4 linked regions of the Saccharomyces cerevisiae S288C genome follow. The protein of the gene in region 3 purifies or fractionates together with the protein of the main gene of each other region. This does not show direct contact. Each region holds a gene or a part of one and is shown on either strand. Other genes may lie near its edges.

Region 1 (4,836 bases), on a different chromosome or scaffold from region 3:
CATTGGAACCGAGTGAATCTTCATTATCGTTAAACCCATGCTCAACATCTAAATGTGCATTTAGTGCTTGTAAGTTATCAAACTTCCTTAGACAAATGGGACATGAAACATTTTCAAGATCCATAATAGATAAGTCGCCAGGAAATTCGGTGATATCCCTTTAAAAACCATGAGATCCGGCTTTGCTCTTTAGGTCGGTCAATTTAGCTACTGATCATATGTTTTCATTATTCTATTGTTTTCCCAAAGTATTACCCTGCCTGGAAATAACAGTGATAGCCAGAGTGATTCCATCGCCAGTACTTTTGTAATTCAGGAATACATTTATACCAATAAATGGCTCACATTTAATGTCTGCATACGTGATTACTACATATATATGTCTGCGTATGTGCTTGGCTATTTTACATTAGCGAGTTTCTATAAAGTACTAACGCCATTAGAGTTTTTTGTAACTGAAAAATGCCCTTAGAGTATGATAGCCTTTTAATAGCATCTCTCTATTCTTCGGTATGTTGACTTAAATTAATCAAAACACTAACTTTGGTTGAATAAACGCCTTTTGTTTGGAGTGAAAAGTTAATGGATTTCTTTCAATTATTGCCAATTCATTACTAGAAATTAAGTCAACAAACAGTAAAGGTTTATATTTATCAGTAAAGAAGAAGTGACCGGAGCTTTCTTCGTTTCTTTGTACATCTGTGGACTTTATTTTGTTTCCTTGGTTTAATAATACATTCAAGTTTTCGCTGATTTCCATATCAATATCGTCATCTTCGTCATCTTCCTCGTCGTTCATGAAATTACTTTCATCTGTGATAGTTAGCCCTTCGTGTGTACGTTTTTTCTGTTTTCTTCTCTTATTTATAGGGAAGTCAACATCAAAGTCTATTCTTGATATCCAAGTAGCCCCCCAAAACCATAATCTGCTACTATTTTCTATGTCTGAAAATATCCCTACACAGTTCTCTTTTAATGTCTTCCATTCTTTTGGTAAGTTATCCGTATTGTTTTTTGACCATTGAGTTAATACGCTTTCGCTATCTTCATTCTCGGCTTCCGAATTCAAATTCATATTGAATTCATAAATCTTATTGTCTGCAGTAATTACTACTACAGATTTTCTAGAAGTATTGATATGAACAGCGGTGATGAAATTATTCAAACGAGCAAGTGGTTTAGAAATCCTTGCTTTTAAGTCTAATATGTCTACGACTCCACAGCCACGAGAAATTACTGCAATGTTCTGGTCTACTTCCAAATGGTTGATCCTGTTAATATAGGGAACTTTGATACTGCTCTTAGTTGAAGTAACCTCCAAAAGTTCAACTTCTTGCGGTTTTTCATCTTCTTCAGATTCTAGATCCACAATAAATACATCATCTTCGCAAGAGCATATGACAATTTTGGAATTATCGATGAACTTGACTAATTTTGTGGAAGTTCTCAATAATAGGTCATTATCTAGTTTAGTCACTTTCAATTTATTACCTACGGGCTGTAAATGAAAAACTTTAGTGGTAGAGGGCCTCCCTACGACTAAAACTTGTCCATCAGGTGATAAAGAACAAGTTGAGATATTCTGGTCATCTTTTAAAGTTAACTTGCAAACTAGCTTATAATTCTGTTCTGTACTAGAATCGGTTCCCATTGTCCATATCTTAACAGTAGATTCGCTCCATGAAACAACAAGGCGTTGCTCTTTGTTAACTAAAACATTCTTTGAATAAGGTTCGACAGTTGGCATCTTCCTGTAGTTTCCATTAGAAAAAGAAGTAAGTGAGTTGATGACTAGTGTTTTTTCAACACCTCCTGAAACTAGAAAATCTGCACCTTTAGATTGGTATGCACATATTGCTCTAATGTCGTTTCCATGAAGCAACCTATTAGAAGAATTTACCCATCTGTTGTTCTTTTGAGATTTGTTAGTGTTTTGAGAAAATTGAAAGATTTTTCTGTCCACACCAGCACTAAAAACATAATTATTATCAGTATCGGTAGTTAGACACAGTACGTCTGCATCGTGCGCCTTAAATGACTGGTTTAGCGTGGCAAACTGGAAATCCCAGAATTTAATGGAGCCTGTAGAATCACCAGAGGCAATCTGATCAGTTCTTGGTAAATATATAACTGACCAAACTAGAGTTGATTCTTTTTTGGCCTTGTCGACCTTCATAGTGTGTAATAGACGACCCATGTTTTCGTCATTTTTTTGTGCAGACCAAATCCTTATTCTACCATCAGAACAACCACCAATCACGAAGTCATCCTTTTTCCAAGCCAAAGTCAATACTCTGGCTTCTTGTCTCATCAAAATAGTATCGTGTTCCAAGACACCAGGCCCGCCAGAGATATCTATGAGGACCACCGTCCCATTATCGCAACCCACAGACAGCTTGTCTTGTGAATCGTTGATGGAAATAGACCATATCACACCTGAATTGCAATCATAGTTTCTTAATGGTAAACCTGTTGCTAAATCCCATTCTGTTACCACAGTCGAGCCGCCAATAGAAAATAGCCTTAGAGACTCGCCGTTAACGTTGCTCCAGCAAAGGCCTTCAATTGATCTGTCTTTGCCACCTTCGATAACCATTTCCTGAAACCAATTGTTTCTAGGATTCCAGATTTCTATGTTACCATTAGATCTACCAATAGCTAATCTCAAATCGGACGGAGTTAACTTATTTATATTTGATTTATGTGAAAATGCTAGAGATGTGATTGTGGCAGGAGTGAAATCCACAAATCTGCATCTATGCACTATCATCCTTTCCTGACTGGTCATCTTCACCGGTTTGTTTCGTATTTTCAGGCTTCTTGACTTTTCTTTTAAAACTGAAAGTAGCGATGAGCTCATTCGTAGCTTTTTTCTTGTCAGTCTGAAAATTTTTCATTTGGTTTTTTGAAAAAAATCCTGCCTAATATGGTATCAAGAGGAATAACAAGAAAAAAAAATCATGGGGGATACAAAGGAAAACAAGGAGATAATGCAGGTTATACTGAATTGCTCATAGTATTAGCCTAAAGCACTTTACCTCTGATTTATTGCATCTATCGTATTCTTGAGTTATTGCGACTTTTAAAATCCGTGCACCGCATATGAAAGGGTAGAGCCTTCGTGTTTGTTTACCTTTTTAGCTCTTTGAAGATCAAACAAAAACACTTCAGTAATGCCTACAGCCTTGGATAAGACAAAGAAGTTAACAGGCCGCGCCCATCATGCAAGATCCTGATGGTATTGACATTAATACGAAAATCTTTAACTCAGTTGCTGAAGTATTTCAAAAGGCACAGGGTTCTTATGCAGGACACAGGAAGCATATAGCAGTTTTGAAGAAAATTCAGTCAAAGGCTGTTGAGCAAGGCTATGAAGATGCTTTTAACTTTTGGTTCGATAAATTAGTTACTAAGATCCTTCCTCTGAAAAAGAATGAGATTATCGGAGACAGGATAGTAAAGTTAGTAGCTGCATTTATAGCTTCTTTAGAAAGGGAGTTGATATTGGCCAAAAAACAAAACTATAAGCTCACGAATGATGAAGAAGGGATATTCTCAAGGTTCGTCGATCAGTTCATAAGACATGTTTTGCGTGGTGTGGAAAGCCCTGACAAGAACGTCAGATTTAGAGTTTTACAGTTATTAGCCGTTATAATGGATAATATAGGGGAAATCGATGAATCACTTTTCAATTTATTAATATTGTCTTTAAATAAGAGGATTTATGATAGAGAACCAACGGTTAGGATACAGGCTGTGTTTTGTTTAACTAAATTTCAGGATGAAGAGCAAACTGAACATTTAACTGAGCTTTCTGATAATGAAGAAAATTTTGAAGCTACGAGAACTCTAGTTGCTTCTATCCAGAACGATCCGTCAGCTGAAGTACGGAGGGCTGCAATGCTGAATTTGATCAATGATAATAATACTAGACCGTATATCTTGGAGAGGGCTAGAGATGTAAACATCGTTAATAGAAGGCTCGTGTATTCGAGAATTTTGAAATCAATGGGAAGAAAGTGTTTCGATGATATTGAGCCGCATATTTTTGATCAATTGATTGAGTGGGGTTTAGAAGATAGGGAATTATCAGTGAGAAATGCGTGTAAGAGACTCATTGCTCATGATTGGTTAAATGCTCTGGATGGCGATTTGATAGAATTACTAGAAAAATTGGATGTCTCAAGATCCTCAGTGTGTGTTAAGGCTATAGAAGCACTTTTTCAATCAAGGCCAGATATATTATCTAAAATCAAATTTCCTGAAAGTATTTGGAAAGACTTTACCGTAGAAATTGCCTTCCTCTTTCGGGCTATTTATTTGTACTGTTTGGATAATAATATAACAGAAATGCTGGAAGAAAACTTTCCAGAAGCCTCAAAATTATCCGAGCATTTAAACCATTATATTCTTCTCAGATATCATCACAACGACATTTCTAATGACTCTCAGTCGCATTTTGATTATAACACTTTAGAGTTTATTATTGAGCAACTATCGATTGCCGCCGAAAGGTATGATTATAGCGATGAGGTTGGAAGGAGATCGATGCTTACAGTGGTACGAAATATGCTGGCCTTAACTACACTCTCCGAACCTCTTATTAAAATTGGTATTCGTGTAATGAAAAGTCTGTCCATAAATGAAAAAGATTTTGTAACAATGGCAATAGAAATCATTAATGATATTAGAGACGACGATATTGAAAAACAAGAACAAGAAGAGAAAATAAAAAGCAAGAAGATTAATCGCAGAAATGAGACTTCCGTCGATGAAGAGGACGAAAACGGCACACATAATGACGAAGTTAACGAGGATGAAGAAGACGACAATATT
Region 2 (3,659 bases), on a different chromosome or scaffold from region 3:
ATTGACAAAGACTCTTTATGGTCTGTATTCTTTTCTTGAAAAACTGGAATAGGTTTCATACCCAGCTTTTCCCTTATTTCATTTGTCTCCTCAATAGAAAGGTTTTCCGTTTTGTTCATAAATTAATTAAGGGTTGATGTGATGATTGCCTTTTTATTAATATCAAATAGTAACGATTGCACCATCTCATCCTTTGCTCACTTTCAAAAATTTTGTATATCTTTTTCGTCCCGCGAATAATTTTAAGTTGCGCAGTTCACGATATGAATACCTATAACTGCTAATGGTACAAATTTTTTAAAGGTTAAACAAAACTTTTAATGATATAAAGTACCTAAAACTATGTAAACATAAATTATGTATACTATTTCAAATATATCACCTAAAAAAAATAATAAGTTCAATTCAATATGGGCGTACAGCACTAATTTACAGATTATGGAATAAAATATGAAATGAGAAATAGGTTAAGCATTGGATAATTATAGAAAATTTTCTAAATCCAAATAAAAGGGAACGCGAGGGGTCACTAATTATTAAAATGTAAAATGCATCCTTATTTCTTCTCTTTCTTCTCTTTCTTGGACTTCTTTTCCTTCTTCTCTTTCTTCTCTTTCTTCTCCTTCTTTTCCTTCTTTTCCTTCTTTTCCTTCTTGTCCTTCTTTTCCTTCTTAGCTTTTTTAGAATCCTTGGAATCTTCATCATCGTCTCTCTTTCTCTTCTTTTCTTTCTTTTCTTTCTTTTCTTCCTCTTCATCATCAGAATCGGATTCAGAATCAGAAGCAGCCTTTGCGGTATCAGCATCTGCATTGTAGGCCCTAGCTTCAGTCATTTCCACCTTCTTAGCCTCACGAACAACCTTTGGAGTAGTTCTTAAATCTCTACCTTCTAATTGGGATAATCTATTTTCTACTTTGGCTCTTGATTCTAGACCAATGTCACCTGAATCGTCTCTATCTTCAGCTAAAGCATCATAACGCAATGAGACAGCGGCCTTAGCAGCCAGAACTCTTGCAATCTTACCTTTGTTCTTACCAGTAGCTTGACCAACAAGAGAGGCATGATATAGCAAACCATACTTTGGTGTATCATGCTTGGTCTTTAAAGCTCTGAATAAAGCCTTTTCGGCACCTAATATTTGGATGGTAGAAGCTGGTGATTTGGCCAAGGAAATTAAGGAACCTGAATGAGCGATAAGTCTAGCACCAACTAATTCACCAACCAACTGAGTCAAGTTTGGAGCAATAGCCTTCATTCTTGCAGACAAGTAATTGGACAACTGTTCTCTGTAAGCGGCAAATTCGACTATTTGTTCAGCTAAAGCATTAATGTTGTCTAGATCGGTTTGAGTGATTTCAGTACCCATAGACACTTCAGCAGCGGTTTTGACACGTTCTTCAATCTCTTCTGGTAAGATTTCACTCAAATCTGTTTCAGAAGCCTTGGATCTGATACCCATTGTTAGAATAATTCTCGCATAAGCGACGGAATCAGTAACAATCTTAGCTAACTCAGGAAAGTGCCACCCGTACCATTCTTTACATCTCATGGCATATGTGTTTAATTCTTTATCTAAATCATCCAATAAAGCAATTGCTTGAATAATCATAACATCAACTTTGTCAGCAGAAAATTTTAATTTGTGACGACCGATGGAATGAGCTAAACCCAAAGACATCTTGCTTAGATCATTATCAGACATACCTGGCAGCAATTCTGGCAAATATTCTTTGATAGCTCTATAGATATCTAAGGTTACAGCATCGGAAACAACATTGAAGTTCAATCCCAACTTATTAATAGCGTTTGCCAGTTTAGTTTCACTAACAATCAAGGTCGACTTCTTGTCCTTTTTAATTTCTTCCAGAAGTTTTTCTAATTGGGAAGAAACTTTACCTTCAATAATGGAGTTGGCTTCCTCTAAAGCGTTAGCTGCAGAGTTGAACTTGGAAAAGGCGGCGATCTTGAATTCCTTCAAGACTTTGTCAGAGCTATCCAAGTCTTGAATTAAGCTTGAAGATTTGTAGATTTTCTTATCGGAAGCTTTTAAAAGAGCATAACCAGCTGAAGTTTCAGTTAAAACGTAAGCCATTGTATGAGGAGGTTGAGGTTCTACAGCTAATTTGGTATCGACTGCTATTTCAAAAATAACTTATATGCGAAATTTTTGCGAAAGCATAAATAATTCTTGCTTTTCTGAAAATTTTCGATGAGGTTGAAAAATTTTCCAAATTTCTTTTTTTCTGTTCTAACGTACACAATGATATCAATATCAATAAGGCCACTGGGCGGTAATCGCAGATAAACCATATATCCTTGAGATGCCAAGATAAATGAACGCTGGTTCAGGATCTTGGTAATCGTATTTCGCAGGATTGTTCTTTTTTATTGTTCTCTGATATGATTGCTTTGTGACAAAGTTGGGGCATGAAAAAGCCTTTTTTTACTGATGAAAATATGGTGTAGGTTTACGATTAAATAATAATGTTGCGCCCCATTTGGATGCGCTTGTTGGCACATATATTAGTAACATAAATGTTTTCATAAAACTGCTTGTGTCGAATGTTTCTAATGGCGTGAAAAATACGGAAATACTGCTGAATAATTTACACAGGTTCTAACTCTATACTCGGATATGTAGGATATTTAGAAAAATAATTTGTGGATGCCAAAGATCGAAGAGGTGCTGGATCGTTAACCACAGATAAACTGAATCGCGCACTCCAGTTACTGTAAAAAAGACTTACCGAAGAATATAAAACACTCCTGTTTTTGGTATATATGCTTTTATTTCTTGAATGTTTTGATTACTGCGTTCATAAAAAGTGATGACAGGACAGGAATAGTGAAATTATCATCCCAGTTGAACAAATCTATACCTTCACTCAAAGCAGCTACCACACCACCTAACAAGGATAGCATATTCAAACTTAATCTGCTTGTTTCTGGGCTCCATTGGATCTCGCCAGGTTTGTTGACGTAGCTGTAGGCAGGAACAAAATAGCCATAAAATACCCAGCAGGTGATAACACCAACTGTAAACGCAGCTATCGAACCTGCAAGGGATTTATTTCTTGCCACTTTGGGTGTTAAATGACCATACTTTCTTCCAATAGTTGCGGCGGCTGTATCGGACCAACTTAGCAAAAATAACGATATTAAGGTAACATCTTTAGAGAAAAAGTTAAAAGAAAAGATTAACCCAAGAATGTACCACAATACCCCATTGTATGTATGAATCTCCTTTTTTCTCATTAGCGCACCCACAGTTCTACAGTAAAGCATATTGAAAAAGGGCCAGTTTAGTCTTATCAGATCCAAAATAAACAATATGATGAAGGCGTATATCAAAGGCCATAAAACATTTTTATAATTAATACCCTGCGTATACAGGTACAAAGTAATAAAGCCAATGGAAGAATGGAACACCTTACGGGGAATTTCATGTTTAGTTATAAAATCGCCGAACCATTCATGAGATTTCAAATGTATTTCTGTCACTGGAACGTGTGCATCGTCATCGCTACTACTAATTTCTTCTTTTGCTGGAATCGTTACTTTCGCCGAGACTTGATGACTCTTAGATGATAGTCTTTGCTTAGCTTCGGTACGCGGCTCTAGCGTGCTATTTGGAAGGGCAATGGCATCTTCGGTCCCCA
Region 3 (5,919 bases):
CGGCTAATAAAAACGTGAACCTGTTTTAAGTCTTTTGCTATAAAAGATATTTATACTCTAAAAAAAGGGAAACTTTTGCAGCAAAACAAATTTTATGCATTAGTTCTCTGTTCTTAACTTGGTCAGACAAAATTCGTCCGTTTGTAGTTGTCTGTACAGGAATTCATCGAGCGATATTCTATCCTGAAATACATATGCCATTAAGTTACATCCTGAATAGATTCCTAGTCATCTATCAGCAAATATTCATCTTTTAATTTGAACCAATTCCGTTTTGTTCCATGTAGTTTCAACCAGCTATTCAATGACTGCAAGTAAATTTGGTTATTCTCCCCAATACAGTTCAAGTGCTTCAAGGTCAAAATAACATCATTGACTCTCATTCCAGTCACGATGGAAAGATCCTCCAGGGTCACTTTATCATAATGGGCGAGGTCACCTTCAATAAGGTGCCAACAGAGTATCTGTGACCAATATTTCAAGTACCCGATTAGTCCAAAAGGTGATAACGGTACTTCTGGCCCTGATATTACACCTTCTAATTGGGATAGTTTGTATGAAAACTCGATAAGTAAAAGGCCTAATCCACGTCGTTGATATGGGGGAAATATCAAGATGCACGCTAGATTATTTTGCTGATATGACACTAAATCTTTCGAAAAGAATCCCATCGGCTTTGTTGATCCAGTTTCATAAACTATGTAAAATTCATAATGATCTACTTTGAAATACATGGATTTATTGTCCAGATATAGCTTAGTGAAAAGACAAAGACATTGGCAAAAGAGTTGATACTTGGATCCTTTTACTCTTCTTATTGTATATTCAGGACTCTTGTATTTTATTTTGCCTGGAACACGATATTGAAATGGACAACTTGCAACATGTCCTACAAACCGCGTCTGATCATCCGTGTATTTGAAGCAGTATTCACAAACGAAAAGAGTGTCTAGCCAGTATTGGCTGTTAGAAACAGAGGAAAGCTGACCCTTGGTCTCGGAGCACCCTAGCCTTTTTGTTTCAGGATCGAAATAAACGGCGCTCCCATACCAAGTAGAGAATTTTTTATTCAGTCCAAACTGAATCTGTCTTATGTTCCTTTCGTTCAGTATTCCATATAGCATCTCTTTTTGAGTTTTTTTAATTTTTGCTGAGGGCTTATTCTTGCCTTTTCCACCATTCTTCTTTCCTTTTAGCTTCTGGGTAGTCGCTGTGAGTGATTGACTTAAAGATCTTGCCATTTTTTTTGCGAGTGAAAACAAAAAGCAACTAGAAAATAGGAGCCTCCAATATCAAAAAATCAAACTTCAATTTAACAGATTCTTAGAGCGCTACATACTCTATCCAGTTCGATATGGACAAGACTTAATGATTTCATCATCTCTTCTGATTAACGATTCTGTTATTCTTCATATTTACGCGCCTAACATATCATGATGATTGGGTGTTCCGAAAATTTTCATTGGCGATGAGCTGAGTATTGAAAGCTCATTATAGTATTAGTATATTATTGTTAATAGCAAGTGCTATATGCTATAAAAATGCAATTACAACCCAATACTAATAATAGAGTGTCTTAAGAAATATAAGTATGGGTACTTACAGAAAAAGGTTTAATGAAAAAGCCAGATCCGGCCATATGGCCAAATTAAAAGAACTGAAAAGAATTAGGAATAAGCAGTTCACTAGACAGGATGAAAACGATGAAAGAGTAGAAAACCCAGATTCAGCTCCCGCTGAGAGTTCTACTACGGAGCCAAATGCCAATGCGGAAATTCTTGAACCTCTCACTGAAGAAGAAAAGAAAATGAAGAAAAGAAAACTACAGGAGTTATTTACCCCAAAGGAATCGAAAGTTTCGAGATTGAAGAAGAAAAGACTGGATAAATTTATTGAACATCAATTAAAAAGAGAGGAAAGAAAGACAATTATTGGTAAACTTCAAGATTATAAGATAGATACAAGTTTGTTGACAAGCTCTAAAAGGTTAGGAGAGGGCAGGCAGACTAAAAAGGAAGAATTCAAAGAAGCACTGAGTTTAGAACGTCAAGGAAGAGGAAATGAACAAACAAATGAAATATTATACGAAGAATATGAACCAAAAGTTTGGGATGAGTATGGTGAAGGAGGGAGCTCTGAGGATGATGACGGCGAAGATGATTTCGAGGCTTCATTTGGTAGTATGCCGAAACCAACGGACAATGAGGAGAAGAAATCATCAGGTTTTATTGATCATAGACCAGCAAAATTTGGTGGATCTGGTCTTAGCTTTGGGTTTAGCAATATAAAAGTCATAAACAAAGAAAGCAAAACTCCGAAGAAGAAATATAATTGGAGACAACGAGTAGAAATGGAAGAATTGAAGAAGCATGGGAAAGAAGATGAAATGGATTTCGACACGACATCTGAAGATGATGACGAAGAGGAGGATCAGGAAGAAGAAGACAAAATGCATCCTAGTGAAAACCCACTCGAAGAAGTTGAAAGCGCAGATAGTGAAACTGGCTCAGAAAAATTTGACCAAAATGATGTTGCTAACGAATTCAAGGATTGGGCCAATCAAGAAATAAAAAAATTGGAAGGTAGAGATCAAGAGCTAGTTACTCCCACTTTGAACATCGATTATAAACCGATAATTAGAAAGGAAGATTTAGATGATGGTCTCCAAGAAGCTTATGTTCCAATAAACGAGAATTCCACCCGTAAAGCCTTCTATGTTGAAGTTAGCAGATCAGATGAAATTCAGAAAGCAAGAATTCAACTACCAGTATTTGGTGAAGAACACAAAATTATGGAGGCTATTCACCATAATGATGTAGTGATTATTTGTGGTGAAACGGGGTCAGGTAAGACTACACAAGTCCCACAATTTTTATATGAGGCTGGGTTTGGTGCCGAAGATTCTCCAGATTACCCAGGAATGGTGGGTATCACTCAACCAAGAAGAGTGGCCGCTGTGTCCATGGCTGAACGTGTAGCTAATGAATTGGGGGACCATGGTCATAAAGTAGGATACCAAATTAGGTTTGACTCTACCGCAAAGGAGGACACAAAGGTCAAGTTTATGACAGATGGTGTCTTGCTACGAGAAATGATGCACGATTTCAAGTTGACTAAATATTCCTCCATTATCATAGATGAAGCACATGAAAGAAACATTAACACTGATATTTTGATCGGTATGCTTAGCCGTTGTGTTCGGTTAAGAGCTAAACTACATAAGGAGAACCCGATCGAGCACAAGAAGCTAAAACTCATCATCATGTCAGCTACATTAAGGGTATCAGATTTCAGCGAAAACAAAACATTGTTCCCCATAGCGCCCCCTGTCTTACAGGTTGATGCAAGGCAGTTTCCAGTCTCTATTCACTTTAATCGTAGAACTGCATTCAACTATACAGACGAGGCTTTCAGAAAGACTTGCAAAATTCACCAGAAACTTCCTCCTGGCGCTATATTGGTGTTTTTAACCGGTCAGCAGGAAATTACACACATGGTAAAAAGGCTAAGAAAGGAATTTCCTTTTAAGAAAAACTCCAAGTACAACAAAGATTTAGAAACACCCGTTTCTAAAATGGGTATCAATTCAAAAACAACAGATTTGGAGGCTGAGGATATAGACTTCAGTGTACAAGTTATCGATCAAGATAAGTTCAAGAGCGCGATAAGATACGAAGAAGATGAAGGTAACAGTGGAAACGGTGAAGATGAGGAAGACGAAGAGGAAGAAGGGTTTGAAGAAGTCCTAACTGAAGGGCAAACAGCTAACGATCCTTTATATGTCCTTCCACTGTATTCTCTATTACCAACCAAGGAACAAATGAGAGTCTTTCAAAAACCTCCTCAAGGTTCTAGGCTTTGTATTGTTGCAACAAATGTTGCAGAAACATCGTTAACTATACCTGGAGTTAGATATGTTGTTGATTCCGGGAGGTCTAAAGAGCGTAAATATAATGAATCAAATGGCGTACAGAGTTTTGAAGTGGGCTGGGTAAGTAAAGCTAGTGCCAATCAAAGAAGCGGTAGAGCAGGTCGTACTGGACCAGGCCATTGTTACCGTTTATATTCGTCTGCTGTTTTTGAACATGATTTCGAACAGTTCTCTAAACCTGAAATCTTAAGAATGCCAGTGGAGAGCATCGTGTTACAAATGAAGAGCATGGCCATTCATAATATCATTAATTTTCCATTTCCAACTCCTCCAGATAGAGTTGCCCTTTCCAAGGCAATACAATTACTGCAATATTTAGGTGCTCTTGATAATAAGGAGATGATTACTGAAGATGGTAAAAAAATGAGCCTGTTCCCACTTTCACCCAGATTTTCCAAAATGTTACTTGTTTCTGACGAAAAAGCCTGCCTTCCTTATATTGTAGCAATTGTTAGTGCCCTTTCGGTGGGAGATCCTTTTATCAATGAATTTGAGTTGGGAATAAACGAAATTTCTAGAAAACCAAATCCAGATGAAAATCTAGATGATAAGATTAGAGAGCACGATGAATCAACACCAGGTATGGATCCTGAACTGAAAAAGGAATTGCGCAGTAAATTCTATAAAAGCAGGAGTCAGTTTAGTAAATTAGACAAATTTAGTGACGTATTCCGTTTATTAAGTGTTGTAAGTGCAATGGACTACGTTCCAAAGGAACAAAAAGAAATATTCATGAAGAAAAATTTTTTAAGAGGCAAACTAATGGAAGAAATAGTAAAATTGAGGAAGCAGTTAATGTATATCATCAAGTCCAACACTTCAAAAGAAAATATTGCCGTAGTAATTAGGAATGAAGACTTGAAAAGTGATATTCCAAGCGTCATACAAATAAAACTTTTAAAACAAATGATTTGCGCTGGTTTTGTCGACCATGTTGCCGTAAGAGCAGATGTTTTATTTCCAGATGATGCTAAGATAACCAACAGAACTTCCATAATCAACATTCCTTATATTCCTGTTTTGGCCACGAGAACACCAAATATCGAGGACTGCTTTGTCTATATCCATCCGACTTCAATTTTAAATAATTTGGGGGAAATGCCACCCAAATACATGCTCTATTATTCCTTGCACCTTGGTGGAAATAATAAAACAAGGATGAATACTTTATGTGACATCGCAAGCACCCCCTTAGCGAACATAGCAAGAAAGGGACTTCTTTTGACATACAGTAAACCTCTGACTGGTCAAGGCTTGAAGACCGTTAATTTATCACCTACGGAACGGTATTGTTATGTGGTTCCTAGATTTGGATCCACAGTTGACAACGATCTCAAGATTGGTTGGGATTTAAATCCTATAGCAGTGCATCAGAAGAAGCAAAAAGGCCAGTGGACAGTCATTAAGTTTATCACCAGAAAGGGCTTCCAGACCATCACAGGTGAAGAGAAAGAAAAAAAATAATGCGCTGGTATTATAGAAATAGAGTTTCATTATATAAGAACATATAGGAAGAATACATTATTCCTATCTAGGGCATCAAATAATTGCAACCACTTAATGTTAACTTCCTTCATAATTCAAAACATTATGTTCTATAGCACTATGTATTTTATGTCATTATATACGTAGTCAATAACTTTATACGTTTTTTTTATTGAACAAAAGTAAGAATTGCTTAAGACATAATAAGAGGAAACTCATCGAACCAATTCAAAACGGATTATAGATTTATCATACCAGATACGTTTATCAGGAGGCTTGTATAATGGAGCACAGATATAACGTGTTTAATGATACTCCACGAGGGAACCATTGGATGGGCAGTTCTGTGTCAGGATCACCACGTCCATCTTATAGCAGTCGTCCTAATGTAAACACAACACGACGCTTCCAATATAGTGACGATGAGCCCGCTGAGAAAATCCGACCTTTACGCTCGAGGAGCTTTAAAAGTACTGAAAGTAACATAAGCGATGAAAAATCAA
Region 4 (4,950 bases), on a different chromosome or scaffold from region 3:
GCTATATGGCGATGTGGTTGCGTTATTAGGGAAGAGAACCTTAATGATATTCTTAATACGAAGGCTTGGAGGACGTAGTTGATGGTTACTCTTGGCATCATTAGGGCTCATCCATGTAAGTAAAGAGTTCAAATCATCGACTATGTTTGTGTGAAAGATGTATGAGGAAAGTGTTTGTAACTCATCTGTAATAACTTTCAAATCTCGAGTTGGGGTAATCTGAAATGACATGATGGAAAAACCTTAACTATAAGCCATAAATATTTACAGTCCCGCTAAGTCTGGCTTTCGTCTAGTTTTCGATATTTTGGCTCTTTTGTCTATTACTGTTTTTGTAACCAAAGGTTTGAAAATTTAGATGCAACTAATGAACTTACGCAGTAACATGCAAGTACCCAATAAAAAAAGAAATTTTTGAAGAGACGTTCTTGCATTCAGGACATGGTATGTTTTTAATTTCGTTTCTTTAGTTCTCAGGCTCTTCAAAGTACTAACACTTTATTGGCAAGGGGCGCTCAAATGTGATGCATCATTATAGAGTAATAATAAAATAAAAAGAAAGGATGCAAGCCCGGAACAAGAGGCAATTGAATCATTCACCTCATTAACCAAATGTGACCCCAAGGTATCCAGGAAGTACCTGCAGCGTAATCACTGGAACATCAATTACGCTCTCAATGATTATTATGACAAGGAAATAGGGACGTTTACTGACGAGGTTTCAACTGTGGCTCATCCACCCGTATACCCGAAGGAGCTAACACAGGTATTTGAACACTATATCAATAACAACTTGTTTGATATAGACTCACTGGTCAAGTTCATTGAGGAGCTAGGCTACAATCTTGAAGATTTAGCGACATTATGCTTAGCCCATTTACTGGGGTACAAGAAACTAGAAGAACCCTTAAAACGAGAGGACTTCCTGTCAACATGGTTTATGCAAGGCTGTTCCACCATTTCAGACATGCAAGAGTGCATCAAGACGTTAGATGTTAAATTACATGAAGACTTACAATATTTCACACAGATTTATAACTATGCTTTCAATTTGATTCTGGACCCAAATCGAAAGGATATAGATACAGACGAAGGCATCCAGTATTGGAAGCTATTTTTCCAACCAGAGTACCCAGTGCGTATGGAACCAGATTTGCTTGAGGCATGGTTCCGTTTCCTTCGCGATGAGGGGAAAACCACTATAAGTAAAGACACCTGGCGTATGCTGCTCCTCTTTTTCAAACGATACCCCACTATTCAGAAAATAATAAGCGATTACGACGAAACTGCAGCCTGGCCATTTATTATCGATGAGTTCTATGAGTGCTTACAGGATCAGCAATAAACATCCTTTCATATACTTAAGGGTATGCTGTTTAATATTGCATGGAATACGTTACCCTTCTAAGATAGATGGGAATAAGGCGGAAATAAAAAACGCGATGAGCAGTGGAAAATTTTTCAGAAATTTTCAGTTCCCTCATAATATAGATGTAGATATTGTATAAGGTCGTACGTATATCAGAGTAGCCACTAGAAGGACCAGAGAAACTGGAATAAGAGCTATTATGGTCAAATCATACCAACGTTTTGAGCAAGCAGCTGCTTTTGGTGTAATAGCCTCCAATGCCAATTGTGTTTGGATACCTGCGTCATCCGGAAATAGTAATGGTAGTGGACCAGGACAATTGATTACGAGTGCTCTCGAGGACGTTAATATATGGGATATTAAGACCGGGGATTTGGTCAGTAAATTATCCGATGGCTTACCTCCAGGCGCATCTGATGCTAGAGGCGCCAAGCCAGCCGAGTGTACATATTTGGAGGCTCATAAAGATACGGATTTATTAGCTGTCGGTTACGCAGATGGTGTCATTAAAGTTTGGGATTTGATGTCTAAGACTGTGCTTTTGAATTTTAACGGTCACAAAGCAGCTATAACATTATTACAATTTGATGGGACTGGCACAAGATTAATTTCTGGTTCCAAGGACTCCAATATCATTGTATGGGATCTTGTTGGAGAAGTTGGTCTTTATAAACTTAGATCACACAAGGATTCCATTACTGGCTTTTGGTGTCAAGGAGAAGATTGGCTGATCAGCACCTCCAAAGATGGAATGATCAAGCTATGGGACCTAAAAACACATCAATGTATAGAGACACATATTGCGCATACTGGAGAGTGTTGGGGCCTTGCAGTGAAGGATGATTTACTGATCACAACTGGTACTGATAGTCAAGTAAAAATTTGGAAACTGGATATAGAAAATGACAAAATGGGGGGGAAACTAACAGAGATGGGTATTTTCGAAAAGCAAAGTAAGCAACGTGGGTTAAAGATTGAGTTCATAACAAATTCGTCTGACAAAACCTCTTTTTTTTACATCCAAAATGCTGATAAAACCATCGAGACTTTCAGAATTAGAAAAGAAGAAGAAATAGCAAGAGGTTTAAAGAAAAGAGAGAAGAGGCTAAAAGAAAAGGGGTTGACAGAAGAAGAAATTGCAAAATCTATTAAAGAATCCTACTCCTCCTTTATATTGCATCCTTTTCAAACCATAAGATCATTGTATAAAATAAAATCTGCATCATGGACAACGGTCTCAAGTTCCAAACTTGAGTTGGTATTAACTACATCGAGTAATACCATAGAGTATTATTCCATTCCATATGAAAAAAGAGACCCAACAAGCCCTGCTCCTCTCAAGACACATACTATTGAATTGCAAGGGCAAAGAACGGATGTGCGTAGTATTGACATCAGTGATGATAACAAATTACTTGCCACAGCATCCAATGGTTCATTGAAAATATGGAATATCAAAACACATAAATGTATCAGAACTTTCGAATGTGGGTATGCATTAACTTGTAAGTTTTTGCCAGGTGGGCTACTAGTCATACTGGGTACAAGAAACGGGGAGTTACAGCTCTTTGATCTAGCATCATCAAGTCTTTTGGATACCATTGAAGATGCACATGATGCGGCAATTTGGTCGCTAGATCTGACCTCAGATGGTAAACGATTAGTGACCGGATCTGCCGATAAAACTGTCAAGTTTTGGGATTTCAAAGTTGAAAATAGCCTAGTGCCAGGTACCAAGAACAAATTCCTGCCTGTTTTAAAACTGCACCATGATACAACTTTGGAATTAACTGACGACATTTTATGTGTACGGGTTTCTCCTGACGATAGATATCTAGCCATCTCGTTGCTGGATAATACTGTTAAGGTATTCTTTTTGGACTCAATGAAGTTTTACCTAAGTTTATATGGGCACAAATTACCTGTACTATCTATCGATATTTCATTTGATTCTAAGATGATTATTACGTCTTCCGCAGACAAAAATATCAAGATTTGGGGTTTAGATTTTGGTGACTGTCACAAGTCTTTATTTGCCCATCAGGATTCGATTATGAACGTTAAATTCTTACCACAGTCTCACAACTTCTTTAGTTGTTCTAAAGACGCAGTGGTGAAATATTGGGATGGCGAGAAATTTGAATGCATTCAAAAACTATACGCTCATCAGAGCGAAGTTTGGGCTTTGGCGGTTGCTACTGATGGCGGCTTTGTTGTTTCTTCATCCCATGATCACAGTATAAGAATCTGGGAAGAAACCGAGGACCAGGTATTTTTAGAAGAGGAAAAGGAGAAAGAACTTGAAGAACAGTACGAGGATACATTGCTAACTTCTTTGGAAGAAGGAAACGGTGATGATGCATTTAAAGCTGATGCATCGGGTGAAGGCGTTGAAGATGAAGCATCCGGTGTTCATAAACAGACTTTAGAATCGTTAAAGGCTGGTGAAAGACTTATGGAGGCGCTAGATTTAGGAATTGCTGAGATTGAAGGTTTAGAGGCATATAACAGAGATATGAAGCTATGGCAAAGAAAGAAGTTGGGTGAAGCGCCAATAAAACCACAGGGTAACGCTGTTCTAATTGCTGTGAATAAAACTCCTGAGCAATATATTATGGATACCCTGTTAAGAATAAGAATGTCTCAGTTAGAAGATGCACTGATGGTTATGCCATTCTCATATGTCCTCAAATTTTTAAAATTTATTGATACCGTTATGCAAAACAAAACTTTGCTGCACTCTCACTTACCATTAATTTGCAAGAATTTATTTTTCATTATCAAATTTAATCATAAAGAATTGGTTTCTCAGAAAAATGAAGAATTGAAATTGCAAATAAATAGAGTAAAGACTGAATTAAGAAGTGCATTAAAATCTACCGAGGATGATCTAGGCTTTAATGTTCAAGGGTTGAAATTCGTCAAGCAACAATGGAATCTAAGGCATAACTACGAATTCGTTGACGAATATGACCAACAGGAGAAAGAGAGTAATAGTGCAAGGAAGAGAGTTTTCGGGACCGTTATATAATAAAACTATTATCCTACATAATACCGGCATTACTCTGCCCTTTTCACACTTCAAAAGGATAGATTAAATTATCTGTATATTATACAATTCCAATCATAAAAATTGTCATTCCGATTGCCCTTCGGTAATAATGGGCATATCCAAATAACGGAATATGTGTTTTTTATACTTATTGGTCGCTGACATATGCTGTTTTTTGCGAGATGTCTCTCGTCTCTGCAGAGCAGTTGTAAAATTATAGGTCATGCATTTTTTTTTTTTTGATAATGAATAACTATCTAATCTAACAAAATATACGTGAGATACTATGCCCATTTCCCTAGAAGAGCCATTAAAGCAGCTCCACAACACATGATGAGATATGCACTAAGCATTTTTTTGAGGCCATCAGGTCCTTTGAATTGATTAGAGTATAAGAATTCATGAGCCATTAATTCGACTAGTCCAGTATAAATAAGAATTCCTGATGATATCGAGTCAAAAACACCATTAGCAATTAATGCTCTTCTAGAGCCAGGTATCCAAGAGTGTCTGACACCAATACCTACCG

Evidence for each region.
Region 1: the proteins of ECM16 (region 3) and UTP4 purify together in Saccharomyces cerevisiae (affinity purification with mass spectrometry; 6 studies listed by BioGRID). This does not show direct contact.
Region 2: the proteins of ECM16 (region 3) and NOP58 purify together in Saccharomyces cerevisiae (affinity purification with mass spectrometry; 7 studies listed by BioGRID). This does not show direct contact.
Region 4: the proteins of ECM16 (region 3) and DIP2 purify together in Saccharomyces cerevisiae (affinity purification with mass spectrometry; 5 studies listed by BioGRID). This does not show direct contact.

Annotation. Positions count from the first base shown.
Region 1 is NC_001136.10:1,113,904-1,118,739, forward strand, and holds UTP4 (small subunit rRNA maturation protein UTP4), read right to left. Parts: upstream 2,861-4,836; coding exon 530-2,860; downstream 1-529. Other genes in the region: PEP7 (phosphatidylinositol-3-phosphate binding protein), read right to left, coding at 1-124; condensin subunit YCG1, read left to right, coding at 3,223-4,836. UniProt on the Saccharomyces cerevisiae protein: Involved in nucleolar processing of pre-18S ribosomal RNA. Required for optimal pre-ribosomal RNA transcription by RNA polymerase I together with a subset of U3 proteins required for transcription (t-UTPs).
Region 2 is NC_001147.6:896,269-899,927, forward strand, and holds NOP58 (RNA-processing protein NOP58), read right to left. Parts: upstream 2,093-3,659; coding exon 557-2,092; downstream 1-556. Other genes in the region: U4/U6-U5 snRNP complex subunit SNU66, read right to left, coding at 1-119; DGK1 (diacylglycerol kinase), read right to left, coding at 2,788-3,659. UniProt on the Saccharomyces cerevisiae protein: Required for pre-18S rRNA processing. May bind microtubules.
Region 3 is NC_001145.3:522,105-528,023, forward strand, and holds ECM16 (ATP-dependent RNA helicase ECM16), read left to right. Parts: upstream 1-1,591; coding exon 1,592-5,395; downstream 5,396-5,919. Other genes in the region: SAS2 (histone acetyltransferase), read right to left, coding at 225-1,241; POM152 (Pom152p), read left to right, coding at 5,700-5,919. UniProt on the Saccharomyces cerevisiae protein: Probable ATP-binding RNA helicase. Required for 18S rRNA synthesis. May play a role in restructuring of the pre-rRNA.
Region 4 is NC_001144.5:398,089-403,038, forward strand, and holds DIP2 (snoRNA-binding rRNA-processing protein DIP2), read left to right. Parts: upstream 1-1,568; coding exon 1,569-4,400; downstream 4,401-4,950. Other genes in the region: APC2 (anaphase promoting complex subunit 2), read right to left, coding at 1-231; NEDD8 ligase DCN1, read left to right, coding at 442-444, 539-1,345; low-affinity Zn(2+) transporter ZRT2, read right to left, coding at 4,706-4,950. UniProt on the Saccharomyces cerevisiae protein: Involved in nucleolar processing of pre-18S ribosomal RNA.